Linked DNA regions of Cricetulus griseus. The protein of the gene in region 3 purifies or fractionates together with the protein of the main gene of each other region. This does not show direct contact. Links are inferred from orthologs where the notes say so. Each region holds a gene or a part of one and is shown on either strand. Other genes may lie near its edges.

Evidence for each region.
Region 1: the proteins of Srp9 (region 3) and Srp54 purify together in Homo sapiens (co-immunoprecipitation; 4 studies listed by BioGRID and IntAct, counting the BioPlex papers as one, with this or other methods). This does not show direct contact. The link is inferred for Cricetulus griseus from reciprocal best matches to the Homo sapiens genes SRP9 and SRP54.
Region 2: the proteins of Srp9 (region 3) and Larp7 purify together in Homo sapiens (affinity purification with mass spectrometry; 3 studies listed by BioGRID and IntAct, with this or other methods). This does not show direct contact. The link is inferred for Cricetulus griseus from reciprocal best matches to the Homo sapiens genes SRP9 and LARP7.

What each region holds. Positions count from the first base shown.
Region 1 is NC_048598.1:147,159,152-147,162,651, forward strand, and holds part of Srp54 (signal recognition particle 54 kDa protein), read right to left. Parts: intron 3,262-3,500; coding exon 3,164-3,261; intron 1,408-3,163; coding exon 1,201-1,407; 3' UTR 1-1,200. UniProt on the Homo sapiens protein: Component of the signal recognition particle (SRP) complex, a ribonucleoprotein complex that mediates the cotranslational targeting of secretory and membrane proteins to the endoplasmic reticulum (ER).
Region 2 is NW_023276806.1:31,277,390-31,280,889, reverse strand, and holds part of Larp7 (la-related protein 7), read right to left. Parts: coding exon 3,364-3,500; intron 3,281-3,363; coding exon 3,187-3,280; intron 3,110-3,186; coding exon 2,753-3,109; intron 2,673-2,752; coding exon 2,525-2,672; intron 988-2,524; coding exon 836-987; intron 157-835; coding exon 38-156; intron 1-37. UniProt on the Homo sapiens protein: RNA-binding protein that specifically binds distinct small nuclear RNA (snRNAs) and regulates their processing and function.
Region 3 is NC_048598.1:12,258,589-12,264,213, reverse strand, and holds the start of Srp9 (signal recognition particle 9 kDa protein), read left to right. Parts: upstream 1-2,010; 5' UTR 2,011-2,113; coding exon 2,114-2,185; intron 2,186-5,625. UniProt on the Homo sapiens protein: Component of the signal recognition particle (SRP) complex, a ribonucleoprotein complex that mediates the cotranslational targeting of secretory and membrane proteins to the endoplasmic reticulum (ER).

The sequences.
Region 1 (3,500 bases), about 130 Mb from region 3:
TTGAAGAGGGAAAGTGTCATGCTATTTAGAAGGCCAGTTTGTAAGTGTTAATTCCTCAAAGCTATGAGGCTTTTAAAAGATCAGCATCTAAACATTGTCCACATTTCTCTTTATCCACATTTGATTATAAATTAAAGCTATACAGACAAAGTTCTGAACACATATTTAGGAATATTTCTTAAAATTAGATTCATAGTACACTAGGATAACCTAGTAAGGAGAGAAAGGGCCAAACCTGGTTCATATCAACTGTCCAACTTAAGGCTGTGACTTCAGAATGGTGAACAAAACTAAATGGTTACCAATTCCTCATCTCCCAGCTACTCTGCCTGTGATGCAGAAAGGCCTGAGTACGTATGATATATCCAAGGGGCCAGCCATGTAGGTAGCCACTAGGGATCAACACCTGACTACAACTACAAATTAATTCAGTAACTAGTGTTAATTTGTGATCAAAGCAAGTTATTAGCTACTGAAAAGTACAAGAGTGACTTGTAGTGAAAGTGAAAGCCCATATTAATATTTAGAGTAGTAACATTCAACACTTTCCATAAGATATTCTCAATAAAAGGAAATCCATAGTGCTTCCATCTGAGCTATCCTTAGTATAAAAGTATTGGTTAGGTATGTTAAATGCAAGGAAGGCAAGGCATGAAGCTATTAGGATTATCAGCTCCAAAGATGACTAATCAATACTTACCTTTATTTTTTAAAACAAATGCCCTAAAACCAAAAATCTTAACAATTTAACTCCCCTTTTAATGTACAATGCTTTCAGTTTTGGGGTTGAAACAGGATCTCACTGGCTAGGCTGCAGCTTACTATGTTGACCAGGTGGGCATTGAATTGACACAGTACCGCCAGCCCCTGCCTCCCTAGTGTGTGTTATCATGCCTAGCTAAATGTCCTTATGTTTTATAAAAGACTGTTTTAAAATCAAAGCACTGGAGCTTAGTGATAGAGTACTTGGTTAGTGTATGTGAAAGAAGTCCTGGTTTTACTCCCCAGCATGGGGGGGGGGTCACTAATTAATCATAAAAACGTCCCAACTTTAGATCTGACTGTGATAGATACAGCATAAGAATGAAGATTTTCCCTTAATAATTTAAAATATAAATAACTGTTTTAAGTCCCACTAAACAAAAATGTAAAAAGTTCCTGATTGACGTTTAGGGTTTGACACTTTTTAGTCATTTCGTTCTATGGGGGGACAGAGGCTGGCTGTTGTTTGCTTTCCTTAATTACTTCACAGTCTTCCTCCATTTCAAAATTTATGTTCACAAATGAACTGGACACCACCGTTTCTGGTTGATCTGTCTGTACAATGGAACCAGGCTGCAACTTGTTCTGTTGGTACTGTCTTTCTGCTTCTTCAGACATCCTATTTTCTTCTTCTTCCTCTTCCTCCTTAAAAATAAAAAAAAAAAAAAAGAAAAGAAAAATTGGAAATGCCAGTAGTTAAAATAGTAATGTCCAAAAGGGAGCAAATTTCTTCTTTCATTAGCATCTTTTTCTTCAAAAACCAAACTTTAGTGTCATGTCTAATACTTCTGGGGTGGGGGTGTAGCTCAGTGGTAAAGTTCATGTCTAATATACACATAAGGATCTAGGTTTGATCCCTAGCACCACACAGGGAGGGAGAGAGGGAGGGAGGGAGGGAGGGAATTGAAAGAACTACCACCACCAAAACAAAACTGTCTTTTCCCATTCTCAAAGTAAAATAGTTAAAGGTGGATGGCCCAGCACTACTTAGCTAAATTAACTTACCCAATAAAGTAACAAATTAGCAACTATGACACTTGTATAACTACTGTGACACTTTAATTATAAGGTGTCATCCTAGTTAGTTAACAGGCTGATTCATTCATTAGATGGTATAGCATGGTTAGTTTTTCCCTAAGCATCTAATCAAGGTACAGATCATCCAGTTCTTGCCCTCAAGACCTTTGCAGTCTAAATGGAAGTTAAGATACAGAGAGAGGCAGCACAGAGACCACATCGAGAAACTGTTCAGTTCATAGAGGAGGTGGCACTGTATCTGGACCCTGAGATACAAGTCAGTACAGAGATACTCTGGTTTCTCTTCAGATCCTATAAATCTTTCACCTTTTACAAGTCAGTACAGAATGAGTGACCTCTTGGGAGGATTATCCTGAGATAGAACAAACTCCAGAAGCTTCTGAAGTGGACTGAACAAGCTCAGGAGGCTCGAACATGGCGCAGTGTTTTCTTGTTGGTTTTTGTTTTGTTTTTTGTTTTAAAACAGAAAACATGTTTGAGGGCTGTAGAAATGGCTCAGAGAGGTTAAGAGCACTGCCTGCTCTTCAAGAGGTCCTGAGTTCAATACCCAGCAACCACCCAGTGGCTCACACCCATCTGTAATGAGATCTGGTGCCCTCTTCTGGTGTGCAGGCATACATGCAAATAGAACACTGTATATATAAAAAAAACAAAACAAACAAAAACATGTTTGAAGCCACACAACAGAATAAAGGTGATCTTTCTAGGCTGACCTCCAGGGATAGCCCTCCAACAACTGCTTGCTGCTTACTGAGTGAACATACATCCTGTGTTCATACCTCTTTTGGCTTTACCTGACCTGCTCTGCTCCTGTTTCACTGAACCCTCTGGTTTACTGTGTGCTTGCCAATGTACACTAGGTGCTGTTCTGAGCATTTTATGCACTAACCCTAGGAGGAGATACAGTTTTCATGACAACAGGGATTTGAGGCTTGGGGAACTCAGTAACTACCTGATTACTTACACAGGGTGGGTGATAATTCTTCATTTTTTAAAGTGACAATATCAAACGGTATATAAAGATCAAATTAATATACATGAAAAGCCTCACTTATTAGCACTGACAAACAAAACCTAGCATAGGTTTTATACATTTACCTTAGGAAATCAGAATTTTGAAGAGTTCTAAAAATCTGTTAATTTAATAAACTAAATAAGCTATCTTCAGTGGTGGATTCCCTCCTCTGGCACGTGTAAGGTCCTGTGTTTAATGCCTAACACTGCAAAAAAACAAAACAAAACAAAACAAAAACAAAAAAACCCACAGGAGCTACCTTTTGGGCTCCTAGAGTGTCCACACACACACTGTGGGGCTCATCAAGCCTCAGGCAAACTATCAATAAAGTGAGAAAAGGAGACACACCTCCTTCTTCATCCGGTAATACTCATCAATGGCATACTGGTATTTTGGGGTGCTGATGCCCAAAACAGATGCAATCTTCTCTCCAAGAAAGTCACACACTAAAGATACAAAAGTTAAGAGACATACAGTACCATAAATCGTAATACTAAGAATACAAGAGTTATTGTTTTACCCTTAAACCCAATAAATTTATCCCCCTGTCTCCTCACTTCCGTCCTGGACACCAGTCTGTTGACATTACTATTTTTGCATGTTGAAGAACAGTGTCAAACTTACTCAGAGTACTTCTTAGAGATCCTCCACCAGCTTCCACAGTGCTGGTGTTAGATGTGAGCTA
Region 2 (3,500 bases), on a different chromosome or scaffold from region 3:
TCTTGTTTTGTTTTTACACAGGCATCATAAACATTACCCTGACTTGTTTCCTGCCAGGTAGAGGCTCTGTGCTCATGATCTTCACAATAACTCCATTCACGAATTGTGGGCCTTGGTTGTTAACCTTCTCCTGGGTGCAGCATTCTGGATGGCTGACTGTGAAAAGGAAAAGGCTACAGATAAAAATTTTCTCACTCCTGACCTTTAACAGAGCAGCACTAGCTACTCTACAACAGCAGGAGTGATTTCTCAGACTTTAAAGAACTTGTGTAATGTTAATATTAATGCATCAAACTGCTCATTTGGAAATTAATAGGAAATAAAATGCATTATTGCCCTGAACCAAAGAATAAAATTCAAATAAAGATAGATGTCAATAGAAATATAAGGATATTCAAAATATACTATTCAAATGTAATAATTTGGGGAATAGGGAGGAGGGACTGGGAAAGGAGAATGGAGGGGAGGCTATGGCTGGGATGTAAAATAAATAAATGAACTACAATAAATAAAAATATTTATAACTAAAAAGCCTTTACTAATGTTACAATCAATAATAATTCTCTAATATGTCCCTGTTCTGGGTTCATCTTCTACTAAAACTGCAGTCTTTATTACTATGCCCAGTCACTCATGAGTAACTTGCTGGTAATGGAGAGTAAGCAGGCTCTTAAAAAGCCTACTGTTTAATATGAACACTTCAATTTTTTTCTTTCTTTAAATTTTTTTTTTTCTGGTAATGGTTCAGTTCAAAACTGGGGAATCCAGTCTATCACTCCTACACCCAGGGTCCACAGTGTAGTATAACACTAAATGCTATGAAAGTGAGCTTCACCTTTTCCATTCTTCACTCCAGACTTGTTGGGCACTGTACAGTCGGTTTCCATTTCTGACTCCAATTTTATTTGAGATATTGTTTTTTTTAGAGAAGCCATACTGGCTTTTTGTAGTGCCAAATACTCTTTTTTCAAATCCATCCATTCAGTCCTGTAAAACAAAAAATTGAACTACTGAAATAGTGACCAGATGACTCATTGAGAAATCTGAAGGTGAATGAAATAGACGTTCATAAAAATTCCCATTTCTTTTAAAAAGGTGCACTCAATTAGTTTTTAGGCTGTAAATCTATCTAGCAAACAAACAAATGAAGTTCCTTTTCATAAATATTCAGGTAAAATGCTTTAATTTCCCAGTTAAGTTCCTGATATGTTTCTAAAATTTTTAATTGTAAAAGCAAAATAAGGCAACTTTGGGGTAAAGTGAGAAACTAAAATTCAAAGATTTGTTAAATTGCTTCCAATTTGAGAGATAACATTCCTTAGGATTTACTTGAATCAAAAGAATTTCTAAGAAGAAAAAAACACCCCATGGTAGCAATTTATTTATTTACATACATTTACCATGTAGATGTCTCTTCAAACAGCCAGGGCTCCTCCAGAGAGAAGCACAATGCATCTCCTGGCTCAGTGGGAGTGCTCATTGTTACCCTAATCTGTGCCATCAAACAAGCAGATAGGAGTTTTTTTTTTTTTTTTTTTTTTTTAAAGAGAAGGGTATCTTGTGGTAATGGTTTTAGCAGTTAACATTGACATCTGTTTACTTCAAAAAAAAAAAAAAAAAAAAATCCAGACCTACCCAGGATCCCCAGGATCTACTTTCCCTGAGAGCTGATGCTGATACATTAAAATAACAAAGGCTCTTGTAATGATTCTCTGAGATAAAGACGCCAAAAGGAATTCAGGAGTTAGGAGTAGTATAAATACAAGTGGTCTAAAGTCACTGTGTTTTACCCTCCAAGCAGAGAAGGAGATTCTTTGGGATCCAGTTCACAAAGGTAATTTGTCATTTAATTTCCTCCTAGGTTACCCTAGCTTTACAAAGAAGTTGCCTTGTGGGTGGGTTCCCTTCAACTTTAACATGGGAGTGCTTTCTGTCTCACTGTAAAAAGAGTAAGTGCTTCCAAGTTTTAGTAGAAGTGAATTCAATGTACACCTTTAGCATTGATAAGCTAACCCGTTGGGAGTCCCTTCTGCTTTAACATGGGGATACCTGCTGTGTTAAATTAAAGTAAGTGCTTCCATGTTTCAGTGGAGGTGTCTCAACCCATTCAGCATTTCCTTAATTTAAAAATGTTACATTTTAAGGACTAGAACTTAGTAAATGTAAAGACTGGGCTCCCCATTACTTAAACGTGGATGTACTTGCTTTGGGATTAAGAAAGTAAGTGCTCCCATGTTTTGGTGATGGTAAGCTTTCCTTTTCCATTCTCAAGCCTTTAAGAGGACTTAACTGATTGCTGCTTAAGGAGCCTCCTTTACTTTAACATGGAGGCACTTGCTGTGACCTTATAAAAATAAGTGCTTTCATGTTTGAGTGTGGTGGCTCCTACTTATCATCTTTATATTGCCAAAGGACCGTAGGCCGTCACTGTTGCTAATATGCAACTCTGTTAAATAGAAATTGGAATTGCACTTTAGCAATGGTGATGGAGTTCTGTCAACTGCTACTGAAAATTGGTACTTACTTGGACAGCACTCTCAACGGTATAACCTCTTCTCCCATTTTATGTCTCTCCTTGTGTTTTTTCTTATGCTTTCTTTTTACTTTTAGGAGTGAGTCACCTTTTCTATCTCCTGTCTCCTTCTCCTCCTCTGTAGAGCAGAATTCTAAGTCTAGAAAAAAGATTTGCCATAAGACAAGTTGTGTGCTTTGCGAAGTACCTAAAATGTTTGCACTGTTTTCAACATGGTACCTCTGCTTTCCTTGGAGATTTCAGAAGCGGCTTGGCTAATGCCATCTTTCTGCGCCCTCTTCTTGGCTTTTGGCCTGGGGGTCTGGCAGTCTTCATCCTCAGCACTGCTTCTTTCCCTTTTCCCTGCTCTAACTTCAGGTAAGACAGACGGCTCAGTCTTCTCCCGTTTTTTCTTCTTCTTTGCAGGTTGCTTTGGAGCTTCAGGAGTTTCTGCTTCAGAGCCCTCAGAGGCAGTCCTTGGTCTCTTGCCTTTACACACACCCATGCCGCTTGTGTCCTCCATATTTAACTCTTTGGCCTGCATACTGTCTTCCTTCTTTATTCTCCCTTTTTTCTTTTTCTTCTTCTTTTTCTCTTCTGTAACAGCAATGTTCAAATAATTTTATATTCTACCAATTCAATATTTACCTCCTAAGAATTAGGTGGGTACTCACCAGCTACTCTTAAGGAAGGGATGGGTTTGTTTTTCACTGTCTTAGGAAATATGCCAGGTTTTCTTGGTGCCTCTTCTGGTGGGTTGTTAAGAAACTGAAATGAAAATTGGAAAAATCATGGCAAACTTATTCATACTAATCTTTTTCTTTTTAATTTTCAGGGTTCTACAGACGTACCTCAATGGCTTTTGCTGCTTGTTCTTTTGTTTCAAACTCCACAAAGGCAAATCCCTTAGGATCCCCAGTAGACTTGTAATGTGGAATACTTATATAAACCACGTTGCCACATTTCCCAAATACTCTTTCAATCCAGC
Region 3 (5,625 bases):
TAGGGTTATAAGATTTAAACTTTGGCAAGATTTTCTTTTTCTAATTTTGGTTTTTGAAGACAGGGTTTCACCAAGTAACAGCTCTGGCTGTCCTGGAACTCTGTAGACCAGGCTGGCCTCGAACTCACAGATATGCCAGCCTCTGCCTCCTGAGTGCTATTATTAAAGGTGTGTGCCACCACCGCCCAGGGTCAAGGTTTTATAGTAAGCTCCGAAGTCTGCTTTTGTTGATTCTGCCATGAAGAGATAAGCAACTGAGCATTATTAGGACTCCAAAGTTTGGATTAAATGCCCAGTGCTACTCTATGCCCTTTCACTCATTTGCATGGGCAAAAGAGGGCTTAGTAAGATCAGGGGAGAGAATGCGGGACCAATCTAAGACATCTGGGGCACCAGGGGGTGAATATGATCAAAATGCAGTAATAAAACCTGTTATTATGTATACTACTAAAATGTTAAAACTCCTCTTCCCGGAGGGTCATTCACTGGACTTTGTCTCTTTTGCTTCTGTTCTTTATGGCTCCCACTGCCCAACATATAAGTCCCTTGCACTAATCAAGGATGTGGGCTCCTGCCTCAGAGCCTTCTTAGGCATCTAATCCCTTTCGTATTCATGTGTGACTTTGCGTTTGTATAGATGACTCAACTAACACCCAGCCTTTCTTGGAACCTGGAACATAAAACCCTAACCTTTGAGCAGGTCTTCAAATATCACACCACACCCCACCCCAGCCATTAGATTGATTGCAGATTTCCTTGATGTCTCTTGCTAGGACTATCGTCATTCTTATTATTTGCTATTTATTTGATAGGTAGCCCAGTTTGGCCTTGGGTTCACCAAATAGCCTGGGCTGTCCTCAAACTCATGACATAAAGATTTGTATATGTTGGTGGCACAGTCCCAGCTACTCAAGAGGTTGAGGCAGAGAGAGAGATTCTGTTTCAAACAAACAAATGAACAACAAAAAAAAAAAAAAGAAGGAAGAAAAGGAGGAGGGGAGGCAAGATAGGAGAAAGTCGTCGGTGTTATAACTGAGTGGAAGGGACCTTGCCTAGCATGTGCCATCCCCAGCACTGCAAACCCAAAACAAAACCAAAAACCACGTTCACGGGAAAGGGGGAAGCAGTTTATAGGAAAAGAAAGCATATTCGTGGGACCAGGAGTGAGGAGAGAGGAAATGGATAGAAGGAAGCATGAAGGAGATTTCTGGAGGTGAAAAATGTCCCATACATTGGTTATGACATTAGGCGTGGGTTGCGATGTGTGTATGCACTCTTTCAAAATTCATGAGTGTATATTGTTAAAGACAGTGTTCACTGCACAGAAAAATATCCCAATAAAGTTTGTTTTTGGGTTTTTTTTTTTTTTTTTTTTTTTGGTTTTTCAAGACAGGGTTTCTCTGTGTAGCTTTGGAGCCTATCCTGGCACTCGCTCTGTAGTCCAGGCTGGCCTCGAACTCACAGAGATCCGCCTGCCTCTGCCTCCCGAGTGCTGGGATTAAAGGTGTGCACCACCACCGCCCGGCGCCCAGGCTCAAATTTCATATCCTAGCAGATGTCCGCTCCTTGCTTCTTCTCTTCCTCCCTTTCCTGAACACTGGTCATATTAAGCACACCGCGATCTAAAATGCGCTTAGGTGTTTCGCCCTTCTCTGCTTGCCTGCTTGGCTTGTAATATTTCTGCGAGCCTCTCTCCCCTCTTGGCTCCATTTCACCGATACAGAAGTCTATCACAGAAAGTTCTTGTTTGCACTCCTGTTTTGTCTCCCCAGCCCCTTAGGGGTTAGGATTAGGCTGTGAGCGTGACACCTGGACCTTATCATTACCCTTAACGTGGGTGCCCAGGCACCGCCCCTCCAGCCCTGCAGGTGGCGCTGTGGCAGCCGCATCCTCTCCGGGCTCCCGACTTCTCTTTGCGGAGGCCCCGCCCCCGGCGGCAACGCCTCCTGCCCATTGGGCCGGCGCGGCGGAGGCTGGCCAATGGCGCGGCCGCTGGTGGGCGTCCCCCTTCGTGCGGCCGGAGCGCTGCGCCGTGGGCGGTTGCAGGAGGGCGCGGGCTGCCGGTGAGACTGCGGTTTCCCTCCGTGGCCGCCGCCGCCGCCGCGCCGCCGCGATGCCTCAGTTCCAGACCTGGGAGGAGTTCAGCCGCGCGGCCGAGAAGCTCTACCTCGCCGACCCCATGAAGGTGAGTGGCGGGCGGCGGCCCCGAGGCGGGGTCTTCTCTGCCTCTGGCGCGGCGTCCGCACATCCCGGAAGCGGCGTCTGCCCTCGAGCCTCGGTGCGCCTCCCGTCGCCTTCCGTCGGCCTCGGGACCCAGCGAGGCTGCGGCCGTGTGCCCGGGCAGAGCCTCCTCCGCGGCGGGCCCTGCGGTGGCCTCACCCGCGGGAACTCCTGACTTCCGCAGTGGCTTTGGTCGGTGGACGTGTCGCTGAGGCTGGGGCTCCTCCCCCTGCACCTTCTCTTTCCTGTCCGTCACTTATTTCGGTGCCCCTGTCCCTTCCTGGAAAGGCGCGAGGGTTCCTGCTGTTTATAAAATGGAGCTAATGTTACACCGCCACTCAGCCTTGGAAGCACATTGGGGAGCACCTGCCCCCATTCCCCAGGGTGACGGGGATTCTTAGTCTTTTCTGTGGGTCAGTGGTCGTTTTCAAGTCTTAAGAGTGCATGCACTTACACCCCAGGCACAAGTGTTTGCAAATTGTTTCATTCTCCAAAGCGAATCTCCCCAGTTCAGAATAGGTCCTATGAGAGACACACACAGGTAAATGCCACTATTCCTTGAGGATTGTACGGTGTCCGAGTGTATTGTGAATGTACCCACTGGAGGAAAAAGAAAATGAGGAGCTGTTAACAGTAGACTCGGGGTCATTTCTAATGACCAGCATATAACACAAACTGTTTTTAAAGCTAGTTGTTAAGAGTTTGGGGAGATGCTCAGCATACAGAGTTCACATAAGGAGGTAAAGAAAGAACCGACTCCCCAAAGTTGTCCTCTAGACACACACACACACACACACACACACACACAGTGATAAGTAAAAAATTTTAAAAATACATTGGTGCTGGCAATTTTTTCAAGTTTGGTTGTTTGTTCGAGACAAGGTTTCTCTGTGTAGCCCTGGCTGTCCTGGAAATTGCTCTGTAGGCCAGACTGGCCTTGAACTCAGAGATCCTACCTCTGCCTCCCAAGTGCTGGGATTAAAGGCATGCACCACCACCATCTGGCTGGTGCTGGCAACTTGTGACAGCAGAACTTACTACAACGGCCCCCCCCACCATCTTTTAAAAAGATTAATTCATTAACTTTTTAAAAAAAGATTTTATTTACTTATTTATTATGTATACAACATTCTGCTTCCATATACATCTGCACACCAGAAGAGGGCACCAGATATCATAACGGATGGTTGTGAGCCACCATGTGGTTGCTGGGAATTGAACTCAGGACCTCTGGAAGAGTAGCCTGTGCTCTTAACCGCTGAGCCATCTCTCCAGCTCCTAATTCATTAACTTTTATATGTACAGTGTTGTACAGTAGGTACATCCTGTTCATGCATGGTGCCTGCTGAGGTCAGAAGAGGGTATCTGGAGTTAGGGATAGTTGTGAGCCACCCATCATGTGAGTACTGGGAACCAAATTTGTGTCCAACTGCAGCAAGATAAGTTGCTGTTATAAATGGTCTTTGGTCCAAGAAGGGAATGGTGGTGCACACCTGTAAGCCCAGCATTCAGGAAGCTGAAGAAAGAAGAGGGAATTTGAGGTCGGATTAGGCTACACAATGAGATCCTGTCTGAAGGCGCAGTGGAGGAACCATAGGACCTGAATAGACAGTAGAACATTTTGATCCATTCTTGTTTATTTTTAAGACGTTCTCATCTCACGTAGCCCAGATTGGCCTCTTTAATTTACTGTGTAGCTGAGGATGATCTTAAAGTCTGGATCTTTCTAGTCTAACTTTTTTTTCTTTTTTTGCTTTCTGTATTTTTTGAGACGAGGTATTGCTTTGTTAAGCCCAAGTTGCCCTTGAATTGAAGGTCCTCTGCAGCAGCCTGAATGCTGGAATTATAGGTAAATACCACTATTCCTGACTTTTTGTGGTGCCATTTGTTCTAGTTTCGTTTCTGTAGCTGTGATGAAACACCTGACAAGCAGTACAGGGGAGGGAAAGGTTTCTTTGGCTTACTAAGTTAAAGGCACTTGAAACCACCATGTCCATAGTCCAAAGCAGAGAGAAAGAAACGGAACACCATGCTGCCTGCTGGCTTGTGCTCTCCTGAGTTCTTACTAGCTGGTTCTGCACAGACAGCTGAGGGCCCAGCCCACAGTTGATTGAATTTTCCCACCTCAGTGAAGCAGGCCTCCCCTACACGCCCACAGGCCAGCCTCATCAAGATAATCCTCTTCCAGCCTCCCTTCTAAGGTGATATTTAAAACTAATTATTCTGTTCCTCTTAAGTTGACGTAACAGTTCATCTGCTTTATGTAGAAAGTGATGATGAAGAGTGAAGTAAGTTGGATGCTTTTGAAATGGCGTCGCTTGGCAGTGCGGCCTCTGGTACTCCATCTGGGTCATCACCTTTCCCTTGTGTTGCCATTTGTTTGCCTTTTCTTCAGTTGAGCAACGTGCCTGATGATGGCAACAGTATACACTTTTTAATTTAGTAAAAGAATGGTAAAGAATATACCAGCACACAGAGTGTCTGTGACTGTATTTTTAAGAATACAGTAGTTGTAGGAAAAATGAAAATACAAGTGACAGAATTGTGGTGATGAAAACATGTTTAAAATAGACAGGAGAGGAGGAACCTTACATTTCCACCTAGGTAGAAAATTCTAGTGGCCTACAAACTTCTGCTTCCTTGTAGCCTTCTGTTAGTTTTTCACATTTTTTTGCCCAACTGGAGAGGGCTATAGAGCATGAACCATGTTCTGAGTTCCAAGATGGTGTTTGCTCTGAGAGCTTACAAACCCCAGTTCTGAACCTAGGCTCTCTGATCCATGTAGGGCTAAAGAAGACAGTTTGCCAGGTGTCTGAAATGTTTGCTAAGATTCTGCCCTCTCTCCCAGTGCATATAACATGGAGCCCATACATAGCTTCTCATCTTTACCACACTAACCTACCAGTGGACTGAAAAAGAGCCCTTAGTTGGGTCTAGCTTCCTTTTAGTCCCTCCTTCACATTTCTGCCACAGCTGCCTGAAAGTAGAGACACTGAAGTATCCTCTGCTTAAAACCAGCTCTTCAGATTACTGAGTAAAGTCCCAGCTCCCAGCCCACTGTCTTGACTCTGCTGTTCTGCCCGCCCCCCATAGTTCTCAGTTCTCGACTTGGTGAAGCCACAGAGTACATGGGATCTTTGTTCAGAACGCTGCTTGTGTTTTCTCCAGCCTTCTCGCCTTCTCTATAGGAAAGAAAACATGTATTTCTCAAAACTACCTCCTAAGAAAAGTGGCTCTTGCCCTTTCCCAGTGTAAACTTCTTTAGTATTTTTACCAGTACTTTTCTTTCTAGGACTTTTAGTTCATTCTGTTTTGTATCTGATCATTTTGGCTTGCTGAACTCAGAGTCCTTAAGTGGACAGGAATCTTGAGTTTGTGTCTGTGATTCAGTTGAAAATGGATATT